Linked DNA regions of Coturnix japonica. The protein of the gene in region 2 purifies or fractionates together with the protein of the main gene of each other region. This does not show direct contact. Links are inferred from orthologs where the notes say so. Each region holds a gene or a part of one and is shown on either strand. Other genes may lie near its edges.

The links.
Region 1: the proteins of RIMS1 (region 2) and ERC2 purify together in Homo sapiens (affinity purification with western blotting; 3 studies listed by BioGRID and IntAct, with this or other methods). This does not show direct contact. The link is inferred for Coturnix japonica from reciprocal best matches to the Homo sapiens genes RIMS1 and ERC2.

The regions. Positions count from the first base shown.
Region 1 is NC_029527.1:6,060,043-6,076,427, forward strand, and holds part of ERC2 (ERC protein 2), read right to left. Parts: intron 8,395-16,385; coding exon 8,371-8,394; intron 7,731-8,370; coding exon 7,314-7,730; intron 1-7,313. UniProt on the Homo sapiens protein: Thought to be involved in the organization of the cytomatrix at the nerve terminals active zone (CAZ) which regulates neurotransmitter release. Seems to act together with BSN. May recruit liprin-alpha proteins to the CAZ.
Region 2 is NC_029518.1:74,860,804-74,877,188, forward strand, and holds part of RIMS1 (regulating synaptic membrane exocytosis protein 1), read right to left. Parts: intron 14,205-16,385; coding exon 14,081-14,204; intron 9,098-14,080; coding exon 9,051-9,097; intron 8,459-9,050; coding exon 8,346-8,458; intron 7,402-8,345; coding exon 7,271-7,401; intron 6,928-7,270; coding exon 6,756-6,927; intron 6,650-6,755; coding exon 6,493-6,649; intron 5,266-6,492; coding exon 5,194-5,265; intron 1,024-5,193; coding exon 867-1,023; intron 1-866. UniProt on the Homo sapiens protein: Rab effector involved in exocytosis. May act as scaffold protein that regulates neurotransmitter release at the active zone.

The DNA.
Region 1 (16,385 bases), on a different chromosome or scaffold from region 2:
TCCATTCAAAAGAATGGATGCCATCTTAGCTTGCTCTTTTATTTTTAAAAAACTGAAGTAAATTGCAATTTTGGCTTAAAAACTGGGGCTGAATTCCACTAATGCATCCAGATATAATTCCTGACTTTGTTTTGTAGAGTAAGAAATGCAATTAAGCTCTCTGCTTGCTTTGATTCTTATCTGCAGCTGTTTTAACTGCAGTCTGTCTACAGACTGAATACAATTCCTGTGTCGTACTATCAGCTGCAAATGAAGGTATTACTCTTCTTAGTCCATCCCATCACTGTAAATTGAGCTGTGACAAATAGATAGGGCACGATCATCTGCAGAAGGGATGAAAGCCAGAATAAAATCCAATCCTCATTCAAGAGTGCCATCCAGTGTCTAAAATAAGTCAACGTACCTTATGTGAATAACGTGAACAGATGAAGCCAAGCACAGGCTCATTCTCCAATAAATAGTTTTTCCTTATTTTTAGAGGAGATCTTACATTTCAAACTGTAGAATGACAAAGCTTTTCATCTACGACGGGCTCATCTTGCTGCAGATTACTGCAGCTCACCTGAAGATCACAGCAATTCATAGAATATTTTGTCAATGACAAGTTCAATTAAGATGTCAGTGAACTCCAGTGCTGATGTATTTTTATGTACTGGGAAATCTGTATCATCATAAACTTCACAGTGCATATACATGAAAACATACATCTGCAGAAGTCTGACTTCAGAGAAAAGAAAGTCTATGGAACTGAACTAGAGTGTCTGGGACAAGTATGGGATAGAAAAGAAATACAATGCATTTAACATTGCCATAATGAAGTATAGATAGAGCTGAATTATCCCAGTTACTCCTAGAAAGCTGTATTCATGGAGGATGGTTTGCAACAAGCAGAGGAGAACTGAAGTGTGTGACTAACACAGGTCCTGATGCTGTACTGTTTTATACAGTGTTCCCTGGTACTACTCATAAGCATGCATACTGTTGCACTGAGATTTTAATGAGATCAGGCCTATCAATTTTCCCATTGTAATTCGAAACACCAACATTAGGACTATCCAGATGATAATGTTTCATGGTTCATGAATTGTAAAGAAACTGCAATATTCCAATGGATAGTTTACACAAGCATCTTGAAAAGAATACAACAGCAGATTCAGAAATCAATACAAAAATCAGTCCATACAGTACTCCTGACTCCCAAGGTTTATGATCTGCAGTCATATAATAACTGCTAACTTAAAGGAGAGAACTTTATATTTTTTTATTTGCTTGAATTTTTATTCTTTACTCTTAGATTATCATGAATGTGTTTTTCATAGCATGATTATTTGAGGGAAGAGGGTTGTTTGGATTTCATCTATTTTTTGCCCATAATTATTATTTCCATAGTTTATCTAGGAAACCACAGTACAAATAAACTTAGTATCGAACCCTGTGAAAATTCAGCTGAATAATAAAAGAGCAAGTAGAGAAGTAATAGAGTTGATGGGAAGTTATCATTCTCTTAATTTATAATCTTTGGAAGGTTTTACAATGTGGATTTTTGTGTTAAATACTGAGCGAAAGAAAAATACATTATTAAAAAAAAACTAAGATCCACATTTTTGTAAATAAATTTATGCTTAGGGAGATGAAAGATGTCAAGAATCAAACCTGATAAAAGCAATGTGACCAAAGAAATACATAATTGTTAATTATCTATAAATCAATGAAAATAATGCATTCTGCAACTGCAAATTTTTAAAGGAAAGCATGGAAAGCACATTCGCTTCTGTAAGATGTCCTTTTACTTTAGCTTGAGCTAACCCCACTTGGAACACTCATTTAAAGCAAATTAGGAATCAGATTGCCAACATATAAGAGCAATGGCAGCATAAGAATATTTTTAATAGGACTGTAGATAGAACTGAGGGACACACCACTAAGAACCTATTTGCAACTACCAAGAACAGCAGCAGAAAATCAAGTAAGCATTTTTCTGTAGATCAATTAATAATTATTTTTCTTCTTCTAATTATATTAGTGGAACATGGACTGTGTGAAAATCTTCCAATATCATGTCTAGAATGGAACACAAACTATTTTAAAAAAATAATAATTGAACATCAATAATAATTGAACTTTCTTCTGATCCATGTCACAAAGCACTTTTCCAAAGTCTAGATTCTTTCAAATCTGATCCCCTCCACTGCAACCCACTCAACTAATCCCATTGACCTTGTTGGGATGACTTATGGAAAAAATAGTATTTGGATCTAAGTACTTACAAAGTTTTCAAGTTCTGGAAAATGTGTTCACACTCTTCTCAATTTTGTGTTTCATGCTTTTTCTCACTTTCTAGAACAATTTCTTTAATTGCTTCTCAAACATCACCATTCATTTCAAACTCATGCTTTTCTCATTCTAGATTCCAAACTAGTGGTGATGTTGTTGTGGAGAGTAAAACCTGTCCTAACTGAAAAAAACTCATATGTAAGTAAAAAGCTTTCTATTGGATTTTTAAGAACTACTGCAACAACCAAGCGCCCCAGTGATAATATTATGGGCAATAGCAAAACCCAAACGGGCTACCTTAGGAATAGTATTTGTTCTCTAGAGCATAATCAGTTTCTGCCTACTTTTTCTTGCCTGGTGTGACTGCCAAGTCCTTTTGTATACCTAAGAAGTCACCTTAAAACACATATCAATATTGTGATAGGAAATGATTGTCTTTATAACTACTGATTAGTTTAATATTTTGTGCTGAATCAGGAGAAATAAAAGGAAAGCGGCACTAATGAACCTAATAAAAACACTCAGACTAGAATGGTTGTTAATCTGCATAACTAACTACAGGGAAGAAATGTTTGGTGTCGGTAAAGCATTTCCTTAGTAAATTACTACTGGCTCCAGTGTAAGACATTTACAGTAAACACCAAAAGTCTGCAAGGCATCTGTTCTACTCACAGTGGAAGAAAGAACTTTACTCCATTAATAACTTTAAAAACATGCAATAAGTAATTCATGATGGCAGTTCAAATCCTATCATCAACCATCATTATTTGACCAAGCTGAGTTCAAAGATAGAGCAAGTTTTAAAAAACCCTTGAAAGCTTAAAAGTGCACTTTAAATTATAATAAAGCTGTGTTCTTCTTCCTAAGTGTAGAAAGAAAAGACCATAGCTTTAAACCACGTACAATGTTATTTTAAGAATACATGCAAGATAAGAGTTAAAATGTATATATAAAATCCTATATGATCTCAGATTCCATTTTAGTGAATTTGTATGTTATATAGAGAAGGCATGTGTAATCTATGCGTATGTATATATAATAAAATACTTGCTGGAATTTTAACATTTGACTTTACTAGAGATTTAGTGGGACTTTGCCTAAGGCAAGTTTTTAATAGCAATAATAAAAAAATACTTAATGGTACTTAGGGTAAATAATGTGTGGTCACTATGTTTAAAAAAAAGTAATACCAAACATCTGTGCTAGATTTCCACATGATAAAATCACCAGATTACCTTCAGTACTCCCAAAACTATAGAGAAAAAAAATGTTTATCTCAAATCCTGGAAAATATATTTGATAATCAATGTGAGTAGTAAAAGGCAGGCATTTTTAACGACAGGAATGTATGTTTAGTGATATACATTATACTTATTTCTGAACATAAGAACACAATGGTATGACATCATGGCTTCAAGACAGATTTCCTTTTCACCTGTTAACATACAAACAGGGAAATTCCCAGGCCCAAGAATGGCCCTCTACTTACATTTGTGTATTCGCAAAGGCTACTTTGCAACCTGAAGAACACAATTTCCTTAGCAAACATATAGTATATCATTTTCTCTCATAAAATAACAATAAAATCCAGCTATCATAGGAAAAGGCTAATAAAAATATTTCTGGGCATTCAATGAGCTAAATTTCTTACAGGCAAAAGATTCAGTCTAACTCAATGAAGGGAGAGTGAGCACAGACTACACAGATGCCCTCAGAAACCATGGAGAGGAGCTCCATAATCTCTCCTTAGCAGGCTGTATCTTCAAAACTGAAGCTAAAACGCAAGCATGTACTTCATGCTATTCAATCAGATTATTGTCTTTTGCTTTGTGATAAGCAACTAACGAAAGTTTTGCTATAACTAGCACAAGTCATGGAATCTAGCTATTCTTGTGAAAACGTATTGCCTGTATAACAAATTCCTTAATATGCAGAAAGGAATGCATTCATTTTTTTTGCATAGCTTTTTTCCCCAGTACGTGTGTTTTAATGAACCTCACCAACACAGACATTCTTTGTGATTCCTGTAAGAGAAGAGCAGGATTCCAACTTCACCTGAACTTTCCTCCTGTGTAATAAGGTTCAGATTTGCCATTCCTAGTGCTCTCAAAGAGAACTTGAGTAAACACAATCAGAAGCTCACCACTGTGAAACAAAGTCTGACAGTGCAGTAGAGCGTACGCTGCAGAAAGGTATGGTCTATGAGGAGCAAGTGGTTAACATCCCCAAACCACCCCAAAATCGACTGTTTTATATTCCAGAGGTATATTCCTATGCCTCTATTACACTAGCTATTTCTGTCTCTCTTCTCTCCAGTATCTCCAAGAAATATAATCTATAGTCTGGAGAAATTCCACATTTTGTGAGGCAACTACGTTAACTTCTACAGCTATTCATGGGAAAGAAAAAGAAACAAAGTTTGTTTTTTTCCCCCTATTTTTCCACTTAAATCTTGGATAACTTCATGTTATTTTGAATCAAGACAGTAGAATATTGGTTTCTGGTAACGTGCATACTTCACATGCAGTAATAACAGCAACTTGTAAAAGCAATAATGGCAAAGCTAATTAAAAATTAATTTTCAGGATCTGATCAAACATTAAGTTACACAGGACAATGTAGTAGTTTTTCAGAAATATACTCAACACGAGCTCAACACTGTAACCTGTAAAAAATACAGAAATCAGAATATTTTAGTCAAAATTCTCCAAAATATATTTTGTTAAAGACAGGTAAACATGAACAAAATTTGGTGCTGGACATATACTAAATTCTTAATCATTCCTCAGTGGGATTGAAAAAGCTTCCAAGTTTTGATTCACTGTCAAACCATTCTCAGGGAAGTAGAGGGAAAATATGGTCATTTACAGCCAGGTTGAAAACCTGAAACCTCTTGTTGAAAAATGGAAACCACTAAGGACACTACTGCAAAAGATTCAGCACAGTAATTCCTAATTTATCAGGCTCAGAAACTGTACTCTGAAGGATAGAGACTGCATGCATTAACAGCAATTCTAGTAAACACAGCAGAAAACAAAGACTCACTGCACTACACAAAAATCAAAAGTGGAATATTCTGTTTTTTAACAAATGGATAAAACTAGATACTGAATATCTGATATTCCTTTAAATTGTGCAGACAACTCCCAGTCGCAATACAGCAAAAGGCAAATAAATAAAAATCAATAACTACAGCCTGCCTCAGGAGCAAAGCTGGAGAGAGAATTTCACACAAAGCTTTGGAAATTCTTAGCCAAAATCCCCAAATCAGTAGATAGTTCCCCAAAGCTGACACAGAGATTCTGACCAGCAAACTGTAAATTTTAAACCTTGATAAGTCTCAAAGGCGTATCAGCATGCCACAAGCAGAAACTCCAGCAAGCCCCTCTGAACGTTTGCTCTAGAGGAAAGATAATTACTTTATCCTCAATAAAAATTCAGAGAGAAACAATTTTTTTCCTGGTTCCTGAGAGCAACCCAGTGGGAACTATGAGATATCTTGTCCACTTTCCATGCTCTATTTAGTCCTATTTCTTTAACTGCTCTTAGAAGGCCATTCCAGAGCTTGACTACTCTGCAAATTAAAAAACCTTCTTCAAATTTCTGCTTTATTCATGTCCAAGATGTGCCTGAATTAGTAATCAAAAATATAAGTAATAATGATGCTATAAGTAAGGCACAATCATAGAACAAAAAACAGTTGACAGCAGGTCATCCACACTTGAAACAAACTGTATTTCTCTGAAACCAGCAGATTTAATTCCAGAAATACATTTGAAGCACTTCTTCCACAACCCTTTTTATAATATAGTATCATTAATTCACTTATGCAGTTTCTTTCAGAATCCACTGATTCCATTAAGTGGTGGCATCGCTTTTTAATGAATGTTCTGCCTGAGAAAAGATTCACAAGGATTCACATCTTCACTAAAAAACTTCAAATGTATGTTTGTGCCCTGCAAATTTTCCAGTGTTCCCAAGCTTGAGCAGTGCTTCTGGTACAACTGAGGCCTCAATACGTATTTCTTTTTCTTCCTTTTAATCTGAAATCTAAAATAAATCACTGGGTTTTAAGAATTCCTTTTTACTAACAAAATAGCTTTAACCTTAAACAGTTCATCCACGGGGGAAAAAAAGTTCTATAGATGTAAATAGCTATTCTTTATTCAAGAACCAATAATAGTCTTCTGTGTTCTAGTACTGATTTTATTCATGCTTTGACTTATCAGGCAAATCAGTGCTTTTACCAGACTAGTAGTTCAACCAGACTACACTGCTCCTGAATTTCTAAGGAAATAGAACTGGATGTCCTGATTCTCCTCACTGTGGGTAGCTTGTACTCTACCTCTGCAGTTGTCACCTTTCTCAGTGGGAAGCAACAAGGTCTCTCTCTGAGGAAGACACACGGTCTCATTTCCCTGTCACCAGCTTCAGAGGCTGCTAGGATGAAGAAGGTCACACGGGCTTGAAAAGTGGGCAGATTTTCTTTCAGTTGCACTTCTCCCAAATCTAGTTTCAAAATTAATCAGCAAGTAATGTGGGCAGCTGATGCAGGTGGGCTGGGGGCCAGCATCTAAATACAGTGATGTTCTGTTGTGTACCCCAGCAGAAAATAAATTAGATAAAGTCTGAGTACAGTAGGCAAAATGTTTGAAAACACTTATTTGAAACACAAGAGGTATAAAAGCAAAGTTCCCTATGTACTCGTGGCAAGTCATTTTATAGCAATAAAAGGTGCTAAGTGTCTCTTCAATAATTCTAATCATCTTGATTTGCTAAACATGGATTTGTCAAAATACAAGAAATCTAGATTGCATGCAAAGCAACAATGTCAAAGACAACAAGCCCCAAATGGCACAATTACTTTTTTTCCATAATTTCTCAGTCCACTTGTTTATTAATTTTGATTTTAAATAGGTGCATCTTCTTCTAGGAAACAATGAAAGCAGAAAAGGAAAACACTCAGACACTTATTTCCAGACCTGCAGCAAATACATTAGCAATATCTTTTAAAGAAATAAATAATGAGTTTTCCTTACCTCTCTAAGATGTATGTTTTCCTTCTCCTTCTGGTCTAATATCACTTCTAAATGATTAACCTGAGATTCAGCTTCTGCCATCCTTCGAGTTCTCTCATTGTCATCTTCCATTCCTTTTGAGGGCAAACCTTTACTCTGCAACATTTCCAGAAGCTTTTTTATTGATTCATCTCTAGCATTTAGTGTTTGTTTTTGTGTTTCAATCCTTAGCTCCATTTCTTCTAGAGTTTTTCTTAACAGGAAAAGCTCTTTAGCTTGCCTATCATGTTCTGCTTGAAGTCTTCGAAAATTCTCCTCTGTTAGCTCAATCGTAAAATGCTCAGCACCTCGGTTTCCACTTTCTTGCTGCAGAAGATGATTAAGATCTCTCTGGGTTCTAAGCTCATCTTGAAGTGCCTGGATTGTCATTTGCAGATGCTACAACACCAAAAATAAATAAATAAATAGATTTAGAATCTGAATGTATAATTTGACTTTGATTAAACTTTCGTTGTATGCTTTTATAAAAAATCATTAATAATGAAAGTATACTAAATGACCTTAAAAAAGAAAAATCACAAATGCATGTGACAGTGTTTATAATGACATCCTTCAAGTGCTTCTAGAGAAAATAGATGACAACACACACAGTGTCAACTACAGATAAAATGAAGAACAAAGAAAAACAACAGACCCAAACACAAGGCAGTGACACGTCCATTTGTACAGTCAATATGTGCCTATAAAGTTGAAAGACTCAGTATTCCATGTTTTCTAAATTACTTCATAGACCACAGGTGGTTCTGCCCTGCATGGTGCTCAGCAGATTAGTTATGAAGTCAATCAAAGCACTCCCTGTAACTCTGAAGGGATCTTGGTAGGCAGTGAGGGGGGAGCATTTGATTGGTTTTGTTTTTTTCTTTTGGCAACTAAAGCCATGAATGTTTTAGTAAACAGGATTACTGTATCTCTAATGAACAAACAGGAAAAACACAGTAAGCAATATTGAATTTTGGGGGAAAAAAAAGAAAAAAATAAAAAAAAAAAAAAAAAAAAAGACGGCAAATAGTAGACAAACCTTTGTTCTCCTGGCATCCAAAAACTGAACAGCATGGTAAATGAAAAATGAAGCAAAATCAACATAAAGGTCAGATGCAAGCAAAGGAGATTCAACAGAAAGAACTGAATTCAACAAAAAGTATCTTCAACAGAAAAAATAACTTTATTGAGATATACAAAACAGCACCAACAACTTCACAATACTCAAATATACAAACCAAAGCTCAAGACAGACTTTACTCAATAGATATGACACAGAAAAAAAAAAATAGAAAAAAAAACCATACAAACTAATTAATCCCACAATGAATAATAATAATACTCCTATTACATCTCACTGTGCTTTCATACTTATCTTTCACACAGTATCTTGTCCTACATTGCTTGTATTACAGTTGAGTACAGCGTTGTTCAAGAGAAATCTCTCACTCCATATTCAACACAATGAAAAATAAAATGATTTTGTTCATATCAAACTTGAATCACAGATAATTATCCTAACTTATGATAACAGCATGTTTAATATCTGAAAATGTTTGTCTCCTTGTTTTTTCTTTTTTATTTGCTAATATAATATATCAAATGCATAGAAATACGAGTTCCTGAAAAGCCATATCATATCAATACGATTTAGATGACTTCAAATTTGTGGCACCAGACGTGGGTTTGGTTTTTTGTTTTTTGGTGGGTTTTTTTTTTGCATTAATGAATATTCTGCAACTCCGCACTTCAATTAAACAGTAATTCATTAACACCTGAAGTCAGTATGAGAGGCTTCTTTAGTTGCTTGATAACACCTTCATTTTGAGAATTATTCCTACATCTGTCAGTATGTAATAAACTCAATTTAAACAGAAAGAAAAAAAAATCTGAAATCACATCTCTTAGCAGTCACTTTAAAAGGATAAAAAGTTTGGGCTGCAGTGAAATTCTGTAGTCTGAATCTGTTCTACAATTAAATGGCAATGCTTTTATAGCTGTTCAGAGCTTAAATCTCTTAATGTTTGTATCTCATTAGGCACGCACTCAGTTGAGAACATGCAAATGTAGTCTACTCATTTACAGCCCTACTTATTACTAATGGTAATTCTCACCATTTCTTAAAATCTCAGTATGTTTTGAATTATTTAGATAAGTTGAAAAGTTCCCAATGAACTTAATTTCAAAGTTGTTCTAGATGTAGCAATTTCCTACTTTAAATCCATTACTGTACTGTTTATGATCCTGAGAATGACAGATTTAGCACAGAAATCCAAGTGTTCAAAATGCTCAAAAAAATAGAGAAATATCATGCAACGATATTTATGAATGAACGAATTAACAAAGAGATGGGAAGGCAGAGACAGAGACAAATGCTGCAGAGTAAACAAGACCAAACTTCGTTCTTTCCAAATGCCTTTTGACAGTACTGACACAATATTTATAGATCATCTCCGACAGTTAATATAGCAGTTACACAGTGCTTCTAGGCTAAACAAGAGTTTGCTTTAGGAATATAGACACTGCTCTAAGTCCTGCGTAGTTTTGCAAAACTGAAAGTTGGAGAGAAACATAAATTTTTCAGATGAGTAATTACAGAAAGAAATAAATGTTACTAATTTAAATTAATCATAAATTTTAAAAATAAATTAAAAAAAAAATAATAACCTCCTTCAAAAGGTCCAAAAGGAGAAAAATAAAATCACTTGGCATTTTCAAATTAAATGTTTTGATTTTAAAGCTTTTTCATGCCATATTTAATTATATATTTTTTTAATTGAGATAGATATTTGAATTGAATTTTCTCCTTTTAATGGAAAATAAAATAATTCAAAAAATTTCTCTTTTACTTTATTTTGAGCACAGTCTCCACATCAGCTGGAGTTTCAGTCCCAAGTCATTTATTTTAAGAATGAAACTCATATCTTTTCATTCTTTGCAAAAGAATGACTGCCTGATGTAACACACCTCTAAAAACCTGTGGAGAGAGCCAGTACTTTGCATAAGCATAGTAAAGTAAACCCTCTGCACTGCACAATTATCTCACTACTACGCAGCAGAGATATTCAGTAACTACTCGTATAGTCTATAAAAATTCAAAAGAGAAGACTTTTTTCCTCCTCCGATCTGTATGATTTAAAATAGCTTTTTCTAACATTACATTAGACAATACTTACTCCTTGATGCTAAAAACTACTTATAAGATAATGCTTTCCCGAGTTTAGCAATCTCTGTATGCCACTGTCAAAAAGATTATAGCTAAATCAAAGGACATCCATTTGTAAAATATCTCAAATATTTATAAACAGTAATAAAAGGGAAATTAAATTGCTAACGATAAATCTTCAGAACGTCAATTGTAAAAGCAAAAACTCTTAGATCAACAAACAAATTATTAGAAATCAGAACTCAAAATAGCAATTCTGGCAAGATAAACCAGTCATAACTTCCCTTTCTGTCCCACAGCAACCTATGCATGGTGCTCTCACGTTCCACCCATAAACACATTTGTTGCTGAACACAGCAGTTGTTGTGTCTGCTTCTCTGTAACTATGTTAAGCCAAGAGCCTCAACCGCAGCAGGCTGCTGCTACCTTCTTAGTCCTTCAAGACTCAGAAATCTTTGAACACGATGGCCCAGATTTAGATTTGTGCTGGCACAGATTTTGGTATCTGCAGCTTGCTAAGAAGGGGAGAGAACACATGTTGCGAGGGTGGAAAGGTACTGAATAATTAATTGTAGCAGGGGAGGAATGTGGGAGTGCTGTGAATATCTGTCACGCTGCTTTTAGTATATAGGCAGGACTTCGTGGGATTTGAAAAGACACACAAGATCTATCACACTTTTCATAATTTCTATTAAAAACAGACCAGATGACAAGGGCTTAAAGAAAGATTCCAGGCTTCTATGGAACATATAAATAGCTCTCACAGAACTTTTGTGATCTTCCCCTACAGCCCAACTCCAAGAGGCGATCCATGGAACTGCACAGGAGGTTCCCATTAACCTTTTTTTCAATTAAGCACAGTGCAGGTTTCCACAGTTTGCCCCCATAATTTGAAACAGAACTATGAAGAGGAATTAGCAACCCCTGCTTGGTTGCCTGGCTTCCAACTTTTGCTCTACATGTGAACGTTAACCTATGGAAAGGAGCTATTCACAGACAGATCACCTTCAGAGAACCATCCTGCCACACCACACCCTGGATCAGAGCACAAAAGCATTTCTGAGCATCTCAAAGCCTTAGAGATACGGTAAACACTGGAGAAAAAAGGATACTGTAAAGAGATTGACCAATTTAAAATAATTATCTACAGGCATACAGAAATTCTATTTTACATCACCACCCTGGCACCAAAAGTGAAGAATCTATTGAAAACTGTTGAGAAAATTAAACCAAATCATTTATTATTATTTAATTAATTAATTAATTTTAAAATAATAATGACAAATAAACTGACACTAACTTGGAAGGAAGCAACAAATTCTGTGTAAGGTAAGGTAAAGGTAGAAAGGAATCATAGTTGGGGTTGTCTAGACTGGGAAAGCCAGCCAGAAGGATTTGGTGGCAGAAACTAAGTGTCATAGGTTATTATCAAGTGATAGACTTAGAAAGTGTGCCATAAGTGATTTACTACTCATTTCCTCTAATATCATTATAATCTAACCAGTTTATTCCACAGACAATAATCACTCAAAATTTGGAAATGAGCAGTGAGGAATTCTGAATGTGTTTCTCCTCTATATGGTTCAGTACAGCACTACAGCTAAAGTGGTCAATGTCAAGGTCACCCAGTATAGGCAAAACAACTATTTCTGTAGCCATTCAAGATGATTCACTGCTTTGATGCTTCACCTGAACAGAGTGACAGGTAGCAGTATTTTTCCTCTACTTCAAGCCACTGTATTTTGGCTTCTGTCTCTCACTGTTCCATTTTCAGTTACTGATTATCCTGTTTCTTTCCCACTCTGTTTAAAAAGGTAAAATGTATTAGGCATTTTCTTATACAACTACTGATGTAAAGCCATGTAAGATAAGGAAAAAATGACTACTGTCAAAACTGTCTCTGTCCTCTCAACGCCACGGCATCAATGTGGTTGTGATAGACAAACAGCCTTCTAAAGTGTAAAACAACTGAGAGCAGAACCCTGCAAGTTTGGAGATAATAATCTAGGCAATAAAGCAGTTCCAGGCAAAAAGCAATCTCACGCTGCAGCGTAGGATGTGGATGCAGGTGGCAAGGTGGATACATGACAAAAACTTCCAGAAGCTGTATCAAAAAATCTTTCTGCTTCCAGCAGTTTTCTTCCCTCCCCTTCCTTTTATTAGTACACACCAAAATAAAAAGAGCTTTTGACAGTTTTATTATCTGTTATAGACTTTTGAAAGCCATATCTAACAGTATTTTACAAAATTTATTTTCTGAACTTAGGATGACTAAGCAGTTTCTGCAGCTAAATTTTTGAGGGAATGGGATACATTATTAAGCAGTCTTGCATGATCATATTTTCTCTATTACACACAACAGAGGGTATTATAGTAACTACAGTTTATTCCCTGTGTCATGGGACAAAGGCTGGATTGGCTCATACACTCCAGTCTCTGGCAGTGGCAAATGCCTAATGATACAGAAAGCAGTGAAAACACAGTTGTAGCTACACAACAGGATTCGTAACTTAGGAGAAATAGCAACAACATATATGGTTGACTTTTTGGTTTTTATTTGCTAAATAAAGATTCTTACTTTATAAGCACCTCTATAAGGCACCCCTGAGGAAAACAGCTTATAAAAGAAAGATTCAACATCTAAGGAATCATAGAAGGTTCAAACTTCACACAAAAATGCATCCTCAGCACTGAAATTTCTGGAGCTGCAACAGATGTGAGACAATTTATGTATAACAGTCTGCTGGCACTCTGTGTTCAAAAGGGCAGATTCTTGTTTGTTTGCTTTCCTTAATTTTTCTTTCTTTGCCCACTTTTAGATTTGGTGTCTTGTCAAACTTGATAAAGGCTTGCTCTTAATACCATGCTTTGTAGGCTAAATAAGGAACCTTATCATGTATATTAGACATCTGCATTCCATAATATAGACCTTGTATTTAATCTGATCTAAACTATTAGGCTTTTTGACTATTCAGTCAGCTTTTCTTGGTGATTTCCCACAAATATTTTAATGAAAAACAACACTGGAAGGAAAGCATCACCTAAGAACTTGGTATAATTGTACAAAAACATATCTCAGTTTATTACTGAGGGCTAACTGCAGGCAAAAACATTTTAGTATTGCAAATTTCAGAGTAGTTTTGCACCAGATTCTTTAAGCACAATCTGTAAACCCATTTCTTCCCCCATTCCTCAATTTGCTATGGGCTTAGATGTCATTTTTCATTATTTCCCTTGCTTTGCTGTTTGCCCTAAGTAGGCCTGCCATTACAGATCGACTTTCTCATTCTGCCAAAACATATTTCTTCACAGTATTATGAAGCATTGACTGTACTGCAACTCTAAAGCATCAAAAATCATTCGTTAGAAACAGTCTTTATGTCTGAAATCTCTCTCTCTCTCTCTAGTCCCTTCCTCCTCTTCTCTACTACATTTTTCCTGTTTAGCCAATGCTTTCTGTGGTGAGCATTTTTATTTCAGATCTTTAAGTTCACCTTGCCCCTAAAATCCAACTTCTTATATATATATATATATATGCATATATATATATATATATATGATTTTTTTTAAGAAAATCAATTGAATACTTTTCAATGAAGAATTTATCCAGTGGGGGATTTCTGACATTTATCTAATAATTCTATCTTGTTTCTAAGCAGCTTTACCAAAGCCCAAATACAGCCTTCTCTTCATGCAGATATCGAACAGTTGACTTATGTCCACGATTGGTTATTGAAATGTAGTTATTTTGTACCTTGTGTAAGAAACAAAATAAACCTTACTTTGCTAACAAGAAAATCAAACAAGCTTGACCTTTATTCTCTTAATTTCATCTGGCCTACATCATGGTTAATATTCAAAGTTACAACTAAGATCATTCTCATTATCTTTTGGGCACTTTTTCTGGAGTTTCCATTCTCACATTTTCACCTAAGAAAACAAGCAGCACACTTCTGTGGTCTTTCACTGCTTTGCAGTGTGAGGCATTAATCAGCTCTCATCTGCATGGCTTCGAATAAGCCTGAGGCATGCAGTTTCTCAGAAAGCTTTGACTTGTTGCTTAAGTAGACAATTTGTTTTAAGTCAATCAACTTGTTTTTGAGCCTGGAAAATCTAACACAAAATACTTTAGATTGCCAACAATTATGAATTCCACTAAACCATTCCCTAAAGAAAAATGTTAAGTACCTTCTAATAAACTATTTGAGGAAAATGATTCAAGTCTCCGAAAACAACCTCTTTTTGCAATATAGATTGACAGCACATTAACGATGCAAAAAGGCAATAGTTTATTACTATTGCATAACAAAAATATTAGAAGAAAATACAGCAGGAATGGCAATCCAGAATACTGTTGAATTATGAATATGAGCAGTTGAGTATGTTAGTGGAAAACAACAGGTTCAGCTCTATGACGGGTTTTCAATTTATTCAACTGAAATTGAATAAAGGACGGAGTAAACTTTCAGACAATTTTTCAATCATATTAGTAGTTTAAATATCTCTAACTTTCCTTTCTATAAGAAAAACAAAACAAAACTGCATGGAATTATCTAATGATTTCAAAACATTACAAAATCTAACTTCCTTGGAGCTTTAAACCAGGATTGTTTTCCTCCCTTCAAGAAGCAGTTTTTCAGTCCTTCATTTGTCCCTGATGTTTGGGCTCAAATTCCAATCCTATCTATCTTTTGATTTTGAAACTATTTACTTTTAACACTGCCATTAGGAAAGTGATACAAACTAGGTTATTCACATGAGAATTTCAAGCACAGCTTCTGATACACTAGAAATGTTTTCTTTATTTAAAAAAAAAAAAAAAGAAGAAGAAAAGAAAAAAAAGACGGATAAATCGGGTTCCAACTTCTTCCTACCCTTTAATCTGGGGGGGAAAATAAACGCAACCAGAAAAGAGCACAGTTTTCAATTTGTTTCTTCTTCTCTACTAGGAATAGTACTGTGAGTTAATTAACCATGATATGTAATCATTTCCCATTGAAACGATTTGAAAAGGAAATTAAGAATTGTGCATTCAGCTACAGTTAAGGGAAAGGAAAAAAAAGAAATAGAGAGATTTTTGAAAGCTTCAAATCTAAAATCTTCAGTTAGATCAAACATAGAAAAATGATGCATCACAAAGAGAGGCAACCATCTGGAATGAGATTTTGCCTAGAGTTTCTGAAGAAGTGGGGCAGATCTGCAAGGAGAAATCATTAAGGAAGCAGCATTTGTGGCCCAATAGCTGCAAAATTATGCCTTCAGAAGTCAGAAGATAGATTTTGCAATTAACTTTCTTAAAACTTCATTTAGTCTTGCCAGACTTATTGAGAGTCCTCTGACTTACGGCCTATATACACTCAGTACAAATTAAAACCCTGCACTTGCTCAGTTTTCCCAGAAGATGGCACTAAGTTCACACCCTGCAGAAAAATATTAACAGCACGAAAACACGAAGGAAAACCTGCAGTTACATGCCTCATAAAAATAACGATAACAGCGATACTAATATACCCTTACATAAGAATAAACAATATCAATTAGGGAAAAATAAAATTAGCACTCTAAGTGTTCCTCTCTTAGAAGAGGGAGCAATTTTCCCCTCGTTATTCAAAGAGTTAGGGGCTGAGTGAGGGGATGTGTGTATGTATGGCATACATGGACACTCAGGTATCCCACTAGAATTACGTAAATCAAAACCAGGGATTGCTACAGTAATGTTCATATAAAAAAAAAAAAAAAAAAAAAAAAAACTACCTATTTGAATGCCAATTAAATATTCAAGAATTTAAGTTCTAAGCACTGTCAACTTACACTATTTAAACATGCCCATAAAAACAGTTGTACATTTCTGTAGGAAAACATGTCAAATTAATGATATGACTCTGAAA
Region 2 (16,385 bases):
TGAAGTAATCCTGCCCAGTACCTGTCACTGGTAAAGCCTCACCTCACGTACTGTGCTCAGTTTTGGGCACCTCAGTACAGAAAGGACACTGAGGTACAGGAGCAGGTCCTAAGAAGGGCAACGAGGCTTTTGAGGGGCTTGGAGAATATGCCCTGTGAGGAGTGACTGAAGGAACCGGGGCTGTTTAATCTGGGGAAAAGAAGCTGAGGGGAGACCTTATTACTCTCTTCCAGTATCTGAAAGGATTGGTCTCTTCTCACTGGCAACAGATGACAGGACGAGGGGAAGTGGCCTCAAGTTGCACCAGGGAAGGTTTAGGTTGGATATCAGGAAAAACATCTTTACAGAAAGGGCTATTAAGCACTGGAATAGGCTGCACAGGCCACCATTGGGTTACCATTGCTGAATGTGTTTCAAAACCGTTTGGATGTGGTGCTTGGGTCATGATTTAGCAGAGGGTTGTTAGTTAGGTTAGTATGGTTGGGTCATGGTTGGACTTGATGATCTTTAAGGTCTTTTCCAACCTGAGCTATTCTACAATTCTATGACTGTTTACTGCACTATTCATTATCCTATAAAAATGCTTAAATTACTTCATATAAGATTCAGTCACTGCCTGAATAGCATTTCCAAACCTACAATGAATCACATGGAAAATATCAGTAAGAGGTAAGTCTTAGAAAGATATGATTAATCTCAGGGCTGCGCTTGAATGGTTATTGGAAGCATACATCAAGTTCAAATAACTATTAAATGGAAATACAATTCTGTTTTTTAAAAAATGCTGAACAGAAGAAAAGTAAACATACCAGTGAGAGATTGTACAAACTTGAAACCAACCAGTTTCACTCACTTGTGATGCCTACCTCTGTGATGGCACATTTGGTAAACGTGAACGGGTCCTGCCCTGATCATCACCACGGTGAGGAGATACAGATCGTGAACGATGATGCGTTGTTCTTTGCTGTTCTGGCACAGTTAGTGTTGTAGATCTACTTTCTCTAGTGCTAGATCTATAACCTACTGATAAGAGGGCAATAAAAGGAAATTAGAGAACAACAACGTGGATTTTGAATGAACTCAGATGGTTAGTCTTTTCAGGAACACACAACTAAATGCTTATGCAACTGTAGGTAGTCATTCAGCTGTTGTATGTCCTGACGCATCGTGCAGTCAGGACAAAATACTAAGATTACCTTTTAATTCCTATATGTGCAGAGGCAGAGAAACTGAGATGACTTTCAGTATGCATTGGCAAGTGTGAGGGGGAGAATTGATAACCTTTTCTATCTTGGGGCAGAGTACATAAAGTAATTTGTATTTCAAAATTGTCATAGAGTAACACATACTTGAAATGAATCTAAATAATGTAGGTTTACCTCATCTAGCAAATGGAGAAGGCATGCCTGTGTGTTATAGCAGATACTCACACAGGACTGCTCAAAAATAAAGCCTCTTTCTGACCTTTATCAGTTAAACACAAAAATGCTCTGCCACTCAACTTGGTCAAAGCTACCTACTTTCAAAAATAACAAGCATTTATACTCTACTATATATAAGCTTGAGTGTCATAACCACTGCAGACCACATTTTCCAAATACTACCAATGAGATGCAATATTTTTCATAATCTCTTTTTGTTTAGGACTTTAAAAATGTACTATCATTCTGCTATTAACTGCTGATATTCCTGTTCTTTTTTTCTAAATAATAGGCTACTTGTTCATATTTTGAACCTCACCCTAAAAATCCTGTATCTAATGAAGATCAGCATGATGAACTGCTTCCTAAAGGTGCTTGCTACCTTTCCAGAATATCCTAAGCGAATTTGGTCAGAGTTGCTCCTATCTAGACATTTAGATGAGAAAAAAATCTCCACGAATTTTAGGGAGAAAATAGGGAAAGGTCATCCCTATAGTCACCCTTACCTGAATTCACAAACCAAAAAAAAAAAATCATTTTGCTGTTTCTATTGCATTTATCTAGTACTATATACCTGTACTATGCTTTTTTTTTTTTTTAGCTAAAAAAGTAGCCTGTATCAAAAATCTTCTCCCCATACAGGTAAAGACCATCATCTAAACACAACATCTTCAACTGGATAAATGAAACAGGTTGCAGTTTTTGAGCCTCTTTCTCTACTGTTTCAAGGTTGTTGTCTTGTCTTAGGTTTTTTTAATTATTATTATTATTTTACATAATTTGAATATCATGCGGTTCTTTTCTAATGTTTTACCAGATTGATTTAAGCCTCTTAAAAGTGCAGTCTGTATACGAAGCCACTTAATCACAATGGGTTAGCGAGCACTGATTGCAAAAGGGGCATGACCCTGGAAAGTATGGACTCCAAGGTTCATAATATTTGTTACAAAGAAAGACTCCAAAGTCACATTGATTTTGATGCACTGTGATGCTGGAGTATCTTATCTGCTGAAAACATTTTTCAGACTCATGTAATAAAACCAGAAATATCAGGACACCCCCAATGTAAGTACAAGGACTGGGTGAAAACTTTGAAGCGAAACAGTGACTCACTCAGGATTTCATTGGAGACTGCCTCATTTTCTGTAATAAGATTGGTTCAGAAAACATCTAGTATTTTTGTCAGAGGAAGACAACTGATTACATATGACAAAAACTCTTGTGTTCCCTTTCCCAGTATAATTAAACTTGAGTTTTATGCACGAGAATATATTTTCTGGAAAAAAAATATTTTGTATAAAATTGTATCCTCTCTAACACAAGAAACGCTAGTTTACATTTATTAACATTAAAATCAAAGAAACCCAAAGCTTCTTTCTAAGCTTGAGTAACTATTCTGAAATGTGCTTCAAGTTTTCAATCATAAATTTCAGTTTAAAGTGTGCTTCCAGAGTATTTCTGATCCATCTAAAAAAACAATACCTAAGATTATCCTGTGCACTTAAACACCTGGCATATGAAGAAGCTATCAGACTGTATATTCTTCATAGCTGTGCTATTGGCTACGGTATTAAAACCTTGTGCATTGGGTGAACACAAAGCTTATAGAAGAGACAGGGCAACAGTAAATATTTCTTGTACGTATTACTTCTTTTTCAGTTGGTAAAACTGCATCCGTAGTTCCACAATGACCATGACAGTGACAGCAACAGTAACATCTCCTTGTATCTTCAAAAACAAAGGTTCTGTGCTCTCCAGAGTGAGCAGGGAATTTTTTCTTTTGCATGGGAGCAGCAACACAGCAGATGGCAGTTTATGGAGAAGAAGTTTCTCAGGTGGTCATGGGAAACTGTCGGGTGTGACATGAAATGGAAACTGTATGGATGATGAAAATGTTTCTGATATCTAAAGCACTAACTTCCTTCATAAAAAAAGACAATACAGCCAATGACAAGGTGTTATGATGTCACCCTGCTGATTCAGGAACATCGAGTGCAATGCAACCATTTATTCAGATAATTTTAGACTGAAGAATAAATTCTTCTGGAGCATTACTCAAAAGCAGTACAGTTCATTAAAAATATCCTCTTGTATACTGCCAACTCAGTATGAGCCACTAATGCCTCAGATCACGTTTTATTTTGCTTTTTTAAATCCTTTACTGACCCATTTTACTGACTCAGTAATGGTGTGGTCACATTTGGAATACTGGGCTCTACCATAGAAGACAGACAAAAAGTTAAAGTAGTCTGAGTCCAGAGCAGGACCACAAAACTAATTAAAAGCCTGGAGCATTGTACATCTGTGGAGAGGCAGAGAGCATTCAAATAATATTCATGAAAACAGATATAGGCATACCACAAAAATAAATTGCGTTAAGCAGAGCTTCAACTTAAGTTACTTTAAAGCTGTGAGTATAAGCACCTTTTGTAAACAGTTCTGTGAACTGATGAATGAACCAACTAAAAAAAATCTAGTGGTATATGGCATTACAATATACTGCAATTTTCTGTAGTGATGTCTTGAGAAAGTCTGAGCCCATGTATTCTTCAAAGCCACACTTGAGCACTTGCTGTCCTAATAGCTTTCTGTAAGAACTGTAGATACTCAGGGGTTGACCCAGAGAAGAGTCCAGTGTACTCAGATAAATGTTCTTGAATGTTCCTGGATAGATGGAAATGGTTTATTTCAAATGAATGCTCTAAAAAGTTGGCAGCTTAAAGTCCCAGTTCTAAGCATGTATATTGAGAGGTAAGAAAGCATACATAGATATGCCACATTTTTAAAACCTGTTATATACTTTTAGGTTAAAGGTTCTTTCTCTCAGCTTCTGTAAATAACTATATTAATCACTTGATTAAATCAAATACAAATTTTCCTCTTAGTTGCTCATATGCAATCATATGAAAGTAAGGGAAGAGCCCTAACACATAAAAGGAAGCAAAATTTGGATCTATCTGTGGTAATAAAATGCACGATGTTTTTTTAATGAATATATAATGAATAAATTATCAGATTATTTTAAACTCCAATCAGGAAGACCGAGAATTTTCTAACCCCTCCCCATGATTTAATTCAGTAATTGCCACCAGGAACATCGAAGGAAAAATTATTTAGTACTGCCAATGAAACGGTGACTCTTAGGGTAGTTTGGGATAATTTTGAGATCTATTCATCTGACTCACAACAACAGTCAAATAGAAATAGAAAAATATGGTATCCAAAGTACAAAAGGATGATAAATTAAAGTCTAACCATGGTACAAACTAAATTTATGAACATTTAGGGTAATGGTAGTTCACGAAGACTCAAGGAAACTATAGAAGGTACAGCCATGCTACATGCATCTTAATCTACAGCCATGCATTCTCGAAGTCTACAGAATACTCTTTTACATCTAAGTTTCAAGCAAAAAGCAAAATAAAAACATGCTTGCAATAAACACTGAAACCCTAATTAATGTTGTAAAACAATTTTTTAAATTAAATAAGTATTTTTAATAATGCTTGGAACGTTATGTAGTAAACAATTTGAACCATCAAGTTGTTCTTATATGAAGAATGGAATGCAAAGGAAATACCAATGAATTAACCTTTTAATTCACCATATTTTAGAAGGACAAGAACCATGGAATGAACAGGAAAACTTGTTTTTCCCACTACGCATTCTCTAAAATCAACATCCTCAATATTCTGAAATGTTATAATGAAAATAAATAAATAAGCAAGCAAGAAAGAAGAAGAAAGCAGGACCATGCTGTTCACCCACGCACCTGGAGGAACAACTCCAATACCATCATCAACATCATAATCTGAGATGTCACTATCACTGATAGGCCGAGATCCTGCACAACAGTAAGGTAAACAAATACCTGAACATCTGGCCATGTTATAAAAAGTAAAAATAGGTTCATTTGTAACACTAAAATTGAAAAGGTGATTTTATGACTAAACAGTACAAGTGGAGAATTAAACTGCACTGCTGATTTGGTGATGTTTCATCAAACAGCTGAGCCAATCCAAAAGGCTCACAGATGCTGCAGCCTCCTCTGCCTTTCTTCCCTCAGTACTCTCCTATGAGGTCAGTTTAGCTCACTAAACAAGCAAAAAGATTTCTTTACTTCTCAAATAAATTAAAAAAAAAAGGGTACTTTTGTTCTATTTCAGTGAGTTGAGCAAGTTGAATCAGCTGAACAGGAAAGCAGAGGTGGGAGCATATGGTGGGAAAGGAGAAGAGGAAGCAGCATTGACAGCCTTTTAAAAAGTTCAAATATCTCATGAAAACTAACCTTTAGTTTGCTATCTCTATACATATTCTCAGGCAGTAATTACAGCAGTATCACACTTCTATAATTCATTGTGAATATGCCCCAGTTTCTTACGCATTGGCTGGAATTAATGACTTTTATGTTTAAAATAAAAAAAAATAAAAATCAGAATAGTTTGAAAGCATATTAAAAATAATATCTTGCATCCTTCCTTTTTAAAATAAATCGTCTACTAAGTTAAATGAACAGAGAAGCTACAATAGTCAAATATTTCAACACATTCATTATTTTTTGTGTGAATCATACAATCGTGGAATCAGAATCTTCAGAACTGTACCTCCCAAAGCACACAGTTTCTCTTTGCTGCTTAAATTCACTCTTCCATCTGATTATATGGTATGCATATATAAAAGCACATAGAAAGCTGAAACTAATCTTAAATGAATTGTTTTTACCCTTCAAAAAGCTTCAAAGCCTTTTTTTTTTTTAATAAAAAGCTTTTAATTATTACAAAGTATCCAATAAATGAGGACTTCATTTTTCCTTTTGAATGGAGATTTATGAAAACAAATACTTGACCAATTTTATTTTGCTAGTGAAAAATCAATCGATTCAAATAGGTTTCATTTACTTGAAAGTGTGAAATGCTGGCATGTGCAAAGTCACATCTCTTTGTGCCATACATTTTTATTACACTAACTATGAAATAGCAATTTTTTCTTGTATGTGAAAACTAAATATCAGTACAACATACCCAGGATTTCAAATTTAAAATTTTAAAAAAGGTGAATGGATTGGACCTACTTTGTAATTTTTTGCTAGAGCTTTCTCCACCATGAACATGTCTTCTTGGCATGAAAGGTGATGGCTGAGGCAGAGGTAGTGAAGATTCATCATGTGTTTGTAGCTTATACCAATGTGGTTCATCATCTAAAAGTGCTGTTTCCAGCTCTATAAGAATCTAGGAAAAAAAATGTTCATATTTTAATTTAAATTTTAATATGCAATTTTAACACATGTTCAAAAATAAGTATCAAACTCAGGATAAATGTGATTGTATGCATCACCTCTCCAAGAAATTCACTCTCTTCTTCTTGTACTCTTGGCTGATCCCATACTGTTATTTCAAGCATTCGTTCTCTAAAATCTCTACGATGTACATGCGAGTAGAGAAAAGTTTGGTTCCATTTTGGTTCTAGACTTTTCTTTACCGTTTTGGTCCTCCTTTTACTTTTATCACTGAAACATAAATATTTATTGTAAACTGTAGAAATAAATCACAAAAAGCCATAAACTCATCAGCACTTATTGGTTTCATTTTTCCTGATATTATAATGCCTTAAAAGAGAAAAGTATTTGCTGTGCAGTGGATTGCATTCATCCAAATGTTTGGAGAGTTATTTTGATACTGAATTGAATATCTCTGGTGCAATTTTTTTCTCATAATTACGCTAAAAAAAACCAAAAAACAAAAACAAACAAACAAACAAAAAAAAAATATAAAAGAATTCTGTAATTCAAAAACATTTACTTAAAATTGATTAAATGAATTACAAAATAATTTTCTCAACCGATGTACTACCTCCTGTCTGGAAGAAAATACATTTTTACATAAGGATTCCTTGGCCGTCCATCTACTCTTGGTGGCAAATCTGTTGCTTGTAGAACATTCACTATTAACTGATGTCCCACCTTGTCATACCAGAGTTTCACCTACATGAAACAAGTTACCAGAAAAAAACAACATTTAAAATGAATTAAAAAATTAGGATTTTCATACTGCGTCACATTAAACACAAAGTAGAAGTAATATTCATTTTCCCAAGAAACAATGAGATACATATATTTGCAAATCTATGAATAAAATGTGTTGGCCTATACCGAAGACTTCCATATTCACCTAGATGAATAAAATGATGGTACCCGATTATACTTACATTGCTTACTGTATTCCCTGGTACATGTACGTTCATTCAAGCCAGCATTGTCTTAGTTTTGCTCTTCTGAATCTACTCTTAAATAGGAAGCTAAACTGCAGCTAAACTTCAGGCATGTTCAAAATCTACCTACTCTCATCTGTCACATTAAACAGTTCTAAGGGAAAATAGAAAATACAGCTAAATTCTTTCCTAATAGGATCATAACATAGAATTTTTGAGTCTGCTTCATACTTAGAAATTAATATAATGAATATAAAAATGAAAGAACATATAATAACAAAGTCTAAGTATTCACTGTGTATTTAATAAATACAGTTTCAATTAGCATGACAGAAAATTCCAGGAGGTGATGTATATCTAAATTAAACTGTATTTCTCTACAATATAAGTTAACATATCTCTTTAAGTGTTCCTGTAAAGAAGGTAGAGTGGTACAGTGCTTGTTATCTGCAAGTACAAAAGAGTACAGCATGAAAAATTGGAAGGCGTGTTCATGGACTCCTCAATGTAAATTTCTGCACGTTCTCACGTATTAAGACAACTCCTTACCTCAGCTGTGATTACAGCGAATGTTTACTTACACATTTGAAAGGTGTTAAGAATTTACCAACAGCCATTTCCTTTGACTTCCCAATGGATCTTGGAAAGGCAGAGGGCTGAGGGACCAACACCTGATAAACATTCATTATTAACATAGGAAAAATAAAATCTGCTCACAGAAAGCTGCCCCGGTAGGACTTGTGGTGCATCCCTTAGAGCGCCAGGGCTGGTTGGAGAAATAACAGAAATAGAAGGCCTTTCCATCTTCTGAGATTCAAAAGAACTTGAACCTAAAAACATGCAAGAAACACATGAACTTTCCACCTGAGATTTTAAAGCAAATTTGGATAATTTATGAATTGTTTTTAATTTGAACCATATAAAGCTTGTCTTTATGTATAGTACTGATGTGTTAGTGTACAGAAATATTTTAAGGTTATGCAAATAGGGTGGCGAAAAAGACAGTCTAGACACTCTTAACCCGGATTAAACCTGACATTTTTTCTTTTACTCTAATTAACATATTACAAAGTGTTCCTTATCTATCATTGACACACCATGCCTTGAATAAAATATCCCCATCGTACATAGTGCACAGCTGAAAATTTTAATGAGTAAACTCACTGGTGTTTTTTTGTTTGTTCGTTTTGGTTTTGTTTTGTTTTTTGTTTGTTTCTTTCCTATGGTAGTCTCTGAAATGTGATTTTAACTTTTAAGAATTCAGAGGCAAGAAGATATGCAAGACAGGCATCTGGCACAGAGGACACTCCTGTCTATGCAGGAGATCAGCAGTTCTCTGTCAGTGAAGCAGAGCTCACATGAGCAAGGACAAGCTCATGAAAGGCAAGGGCAGCATAGCACTTTCACAAAGAGTGTACTCACTGGACTCTAATGGGGGATGAGAACTCTCAGGAATCCGAGGAATATCACTAAAAAACATGAACATATACAAAGTAATTAGGAATGAGGAAGATGCAAGAAATACGTTTCTGAGAACATTTTTAGAAACATGTTTCTTATTTTGTTCTAATGGATTATGCAGAAAGAAGGGGAAATTTCATCGTTTTTCACTGGGTTCCATGAAAACCATAACAATGGAAACTATTACTTCCTTCAAACGTAGAAGCTAGAAGACAAAACAATACAAGTGCTATGATGTAAATATTATGGATGGATTCTACTATTTTCACAATCCTGAGAGGTTTTATGAAGGGAAGGAGGTAAATGGCAGTATAGCTACCGTCACTCAACTATTCTTTGGAGGAAACATTTAAAAACTAAACAAAAACACAACACAGAGATTAACTCACTAGTAATCTTTATATAAACGTCTCAAGGAATTCACAGAATGAAACTGATGAAAATGTCTTATGATAAGAAAAAAAAAAAGAAAGAAAAAACAAGTAACATTAGAAACGTCAAACTACAAAAGAATAATACATTTCTTCATAGGCTAAAAAAGTATCACAGCACATTACAATTGGGTGTGGAATTTTTTCAACATTGAAACATCCAACACACACACAAACAAAATCAAACCAGTTACATCCATACATATCTATCAACATTTTGACATCAAGTTCAAAATCAAAAATCACAATTACTCTTCCATCATAGCCTTGATAATAATAGTTCCTTGTGTCCTGTTCTCAGCAGTCATTGAAAATACATTGCAAGGGCAAGATATGACTGTTTTTGTACAAATATTAGAAAAGTAGAGCAAGAAAATGGAAATAAAGCTCTTCAGCAGTTCACTTGAAACTTGTTTTTTCTGCAAATACTAATTCAGAATTTAAACAAAAATAGTACTTTTGAAGGACATTTAAAGTCTAAAAGTGAGCATTTTAAAGGTCGTCAGGTATTTTTCCATTCAGTGAAACGCTACCAAATGATTTAGAAGTCAATAAAACTAAGACCTCTAGACATATATAAATGCTACTTACAACAAAGAAACAGACAAGTTAGAAAATGAATGTAATAGCTCCCAATCAACAAGTCTTAGATTTATTTTTCAAGATCTGCATTGTAAATCTCTGGTGCACAAGATTTAACAAAACCCAATTCAGCTCCCAACTGATGTTTTGCATTAGCCTGCATCTCAGCACTAACCAAGAAAGTTCTTGACTTTGTGAGTATGGAATTTCCTCAAACTCATGGAAAAAAAACTGCATTACTTGCTCTTGACATGGCATAATACTCCTACACAATCAAATACATGATATGGTGCTCAACAGGGCTGCTGTGTGGACTTCATAGCATGTTCTCTCTTCAGTTTCCAAGGAAATATTCATCAGTCTGAAATACTTATTTACTTTATTCTAACTGATTTTTCTGTTCAATATAACATTAAGTCTGTGATACTCTCTTAATACAAAATTTAGGATATTTAAAGAGGGCTTATAGGTGCAAGAATCATTTCAACATGGAAAGTTCATCCTACATACCTGGGTGGATGGAGAAAGACACCAACTACAAAAAAAAAATCTTCAGAAGAAATAGGAGAAATGATTTTAACTAACTAAAGCCAGACTAGCTAAAGTAAATGGTTTATAAAACAAAACAAAACAAAAAACCAACCAATTTGCAGATTACATTAATTGTATTACTCTAGTAACTCCCTGAAATCTAGCACTGTCTGATTTGTTACGGAGGCTCTCCTCACAAGGACCTAGAGGACAGTAACAAAGAGGAGCAGAATCACACTGGAGAGACGTCATTTTTGGTAATAATATTTGTGGAAATCTAAGCAAATATAATTTGTATACAACAAGGAAAACAAGAGACAAGTAAAGAAAATGTTTGTTTTACCTGCACTATCCCATATGAGCTCACCCGAACACAAAAGAGACAGTTACCATGCCAGACTGCTTCTCAAACAGTGTGCTGCCAAAGTCTACACTGCCTTAAATTAATGGCCTCTACCACTGTATGCATATTCATAGCTCATTTTTCCCCCTTCATATTTAGATGCCAACCCATTAAATCTAATTTTAAATGGTTTCTTACCTACCCTGTGTCTGCAATCACAAGTATTAATGTCAATTAGTTTCTATCAAGTTTTTATGGTACTACTGTGGTTATACCATTTGCTATGCCTTTATTTGCTAATTGTATTGAATTTTTCACATTTTTCTCTAATAAACACCCTACAATTATCCATTACTCAAAATTACATTTACTGATAGACACAGAAACACAAATTTACAAGACTAAGCAAACTGGGTAGACATCAATTTTGTAATTTGCAGTCGTCTAATTTGTGGACTTACAGTCCTCCTATTATTTACTTTAGCAAAACAATATTAAATTTAGGCTTTTTAGACCTAATATACTAGGACCTTTTAAAAAAAGACCATTAGATGTGCCAGTACATTGCTTGCATTATTAATATTGAGAGATGAAAACACTTAAATTATGCAGAAGAAATATCATTTTTCGGGAACCTACTCCCTCACAGGAATTTTAGGTGTAATGGATTACCAATTACTGCTTTATCAAGCAAATGGAAATTTGCTGAATCAGAATCTAAAGTAGACACAAATCTTGGTTATACTAGATACACTGGATTAAGCAAAATCCACTGTCATGAATTTGAAATGAACACACAGTTGGAATAACAAGGTGAGGAGAAGCCAGAAAGAAAAAAAAAAGAAATTTAGCCAAAGCAAATCATCCACAAATTCAAACAAACAAACAAGAAAATCACGTGCAGGATGCGGTGTTCTTGGCTTATTTTTTTCTTTGTTGTTAACTAACATTAGGATTTCCTTAGTTGTACAATGCCAGGGTGAGATTTTTTTTATTTTTTTTTTTTTTGTGGAATTTAGACGAGAGAGAGGTAAATCCCAATCTGATATAGAACAACAGGTCTAATTTTAATTAGAAATTAATCTAATTTCTACTGGAAAAATGAGAGACCGTTAAACATCAAAAGACACATTCTTCAGTCCCTCTTGGGATATTTATTTGCTCTCCACAGGAAAATAACAAACAAACAAACAAACAAACAAATAAATAAATAAATAAATAAATAAATAAATAAATAAATGGAAAAATATAATCCAACACAGTTCTACGAGGGTAAAATTATTACAGCATGTCAACAATTCCTTCTCCATTTGTCTCAAAATTATAATCTGTCTTCTGAATTTGCTGTCTGGAAAGAAATATGAATGGGTCATACAAAGCAAAACATTACATTTTATTGGCCCTATTTCCACTTCATTAGTGCAAGAGTCACTGTTCAGATTTAGAAGCAGTCTTTGTTTTTGAATGCCCTCTATTTTCTCGGCCTCAGTTCAACAGTTGTGGTATTTTCCCTGGATTTTTTTTCAAGAGGTCATTAGCGGAATTTGGCCACATTGTATTTCACCTTTTTGAAGTCTCTACATTTATAGAATTCATAAACAATAATTAGTCATGTTAAGAATCAAAATAAAATCTAAGGATAAATGACATTTACAAATACATTGATATCTGAAGCTTGCTATGTAAAAAACTGATACAGCAGTTTCTGCTTCATATCAGTTGTACAGATCAATTTTCTTTCAATTGAGAAATGAAGTATATGTCCAGTCTGATACTTCTTTTCTCCTGATAAAAACATAAAAAATAAATTTTCAAAAACCCACTTATGGCATTTTAATTTAAATCATAAAGACGATGGACTGAATTTCAATTTTCAATCTGGGTTGTCTCTTAATTTACCTGCGACTAAAAAACGTCAAATAAGGTTTCTACTTCCATACTGTTTCACTCTGGATGTTAACTTGAGTCCTAAACAACCACTATTTTTTCATCAAGGTCTAATTTGCCACTAAGATTAACAACAAATGTTAATTTCATCGAAATACTTCCAAATAATTCTAATAGTGATTGTCATTAAAAAGGAAGAGTTCACTTGCAAGATATATCTACATTAGCACAGTGTGGGCAAAACCAAACATCAAAAGCTGATATGAAATAAAGATAAAAGAAGAATGTGTTAGTCAGAAGGAAAATGAATAGTGCTTTCTGTTTCTCAAAATAAAAACTTGCCATAATTGAGATAGATAAAACTTATAATTAGGATGAAATCCAGCTCATCCAAAATGAAAGAATCCTGCATTTATAAATGACAAAACAGCTCATCATCCCCCTACAGGTTACTGGTACTTAAGAGACGTACAATGAGTATGTGATCTCTGCAAAAACTAAAAACTACAGATAGATTTAAACCTTTCACTTTTTTTTTTTTTTTTTTTTTTGAACTAGTCAAGATTCACTTTTTATTGTAAACCATGTGACTCATCTCTGCAATTTAACTGTCAATTTACCACATGATTGAAATTCCATCCTGTAAGACCACTCAAAACAGTCCCAATAGAATCATTTTTGGGGAAGGAGTGTAAAATATCACTGTAAAACTATTGTGACAAATGCAAGGCCAACAACACTCATTTTATCAATTCAAACAGATTTTATGATACTTCCAAGCCTTATTTCAGAAATCAAGAATGCAAGAATTCTTACTATTAAATGCCAAGCTGGGATTTATAACAGATAAACATTATAAAAATAAAAATAAAAATCATTGTTTTTGATGAAACAAACTACATTAGCTAATGTGAAGGTATTTTTGTTTAAACTTTTATTCTGACAGCATCTTTAAAAGACAAATTTCAGTTAAAGCAGTCATATTTTTTTTTCTCTCTCTCTAAAGAAAAATTCGTTAAATTCCTACTAGCATTGTCATAATTCAAGTCCAGCAGTGCTCAATGCTTGCTTGTGCTTCCTAAGAAATCATTTATACAGATAAATCACCGTAAAGGCCCAAGATCATAACAGGCGATGAAGAAATTGTAATGTATGGAATATCAACAATGAAAAGTAGAACTAATAACTGCACTTAAGAAGCAAATAGTTAGCCTTACCCAATAGGCCTTGAAACAATAATTTCAACTTGAGGTTCTGACTTTGATTCTAAAATAATGTTGTAAACTTCTTCATTTGTAGCTCCAGGCAAGGGTTTACCATTCCATTCTAGAACTTCATCTCCTTGAATTTAAAGAGAATTTTAATTCATTTCAATATTCTTGTGCGAAGAAGAACAAAACATTTATGAAACTTATATAAATACATTACATTGCTCAAAATAAATTTAAAAATTATGTTGAAAACCAGAAAATGGCTCCTGAGACACTATTAAGGCTCATTTATATAGTTTTATAGTTTCGTGCGGGTTGGAAGGGACCTTAGAGATCGAGTCCAGCCCCCGGGATTCATAGAACGTAGCTACAAATTCTACACAAAAGCATTCAAATGAAATAACAAAAGTCTTTTTAAGAATCCTTTAACAGTAACTTCAATTGACAGTAATAAATGTTGAGAATAAATAAGAGAATTAATCATTAAAAAATAAAAAAAAAAAATAAATGGAAACATAAATACCTAATTTTTAACCTTAAACATTTGTCACTTAAAGGTTAAGGTTAAAACCTTAACCTTGTCACTTCTAGTACACTGCATTGCACTTTAATACTACTATGAAAAGACAAAAGAATTTAATTATAGTTTCTTAATAAAGATCTGTATATTCAATTGAACCGCAGGAACTGCAGTAAACTGCAGGAAATCTTATACTCTCACATCCCATCCTATGTAATAGCCAGAACTTTGCAGCCATTATCTGATACCATAAATAATATCCTTATTTTCTTTCTTAGCACCAATTCTGCGTTTATCAGATTAAGTTGGGAACAACTATAGAGCTACTGGCTTGCCCCTGTATGAGGAGTCCTAACTCAAATGGTAAAACCCAGGCTTGTTCATAAATCAAAGCAAAACTATCCAAACTAAACTCAGAACTACAAAAATATGCAGCAGCAACTTCATTTTAAGATCAACGATTGTCATTCTTTTTTCCCAAACAGCCTATATTTTAGTGTTTTCAGAGAAGACTCCACAAAAGATCCCAGTAGCTTTGAAAGCATTTTGTCATTCTTTAGAACTGAAGAGATTGTTAATGAAAGACTTAAATGTCGTCTGAGGTAAGTTTCATTTTCTACTATGTTATTTAGATGGAACCAATTTAAACACTGCATACTCATTACAGAATATATTTTCTTGGAATGAAAAATAAGTAAATCCAGATATTGCTTGCAAAATTAATTTAAAAGTTCATACAACTCAATGAAAACACAGTTAATTTCTTCTGAACTTCTCATTCTGTTTAAGTGCTAGCAACTCATAAATAACATGATTTTTTTTTCCCCTCTAAAACAAAATTTGTAGATAATTTGCTTAATTTCCAAAAGCATCACAGGCTTTCAAAGGAACAAGGTCTGGTCAACTTTGCAATAGTTGCAACTTCACAATAAAAACAATACGGAAAGATGATAGATGTGCAACACTAAAAAGTACATGAATGAAAAGTACTTTACATAGGAATTACTTGGTCACATACTCAAAACATGGATGCATGCAATAGCTAGTTTGAGACAGCTCTAGCAGCAACATGCTCTAGCAGGCCCTAGAGATTGGTTGGCAACAGATTGGGCTGGCAATCTCAAGAGGTCCATCCTGTGATCCTGTGACCCATTGCAACAAATTATGACGTCTTAAGCTCCTTGCACTTAAATCTCACTGTAGTTGCCAAAAATTCTAAGTCACTCAGGCAAGGATCTGTTAGACACTTCACACTTAGATACTTAGGATAAACCAAGATATCTGCACAAAGCTGGCTAGTAGATCCTACAGGATAGGAATCACTTCTGCAAGTTTACACTAGGATACCAATTTTAATGTGTACTGCATTCTCTCCACACTTATTGATGCAGAGACATAGGATTTTCTGACTTAGACTGCCAAGCTCTGAGTTATTTTCTACTGAATTCTAAAATAGTATCTCAGATTGGAAAACACTTTTGGAAGTCACTAGTCCCAGCCTTTGTTCAAAGTAGGGCCAAATTCAAGGGATAGAGCTGGCTGCTAATGGACTTGAGCAGCTGAAATTTGAATATCTCCAAGGAAACATGTGCAGAAAGCTTATCCATGCAAGCTTCTCCAGGATCTCCAGGATCTATCCCCAAGGAGAACCAGAGTTTTCACAACTTGAACCTCTTCCCCAACAGTATGTGTATCTTCATGTGATCACTGTGCACCCCTGAGAACACAGTGTGCTCAGGGCTCCCTGTAGAATCTCTCAGTAGCCTAGTAGAAACAGGAATTAGATCCCCT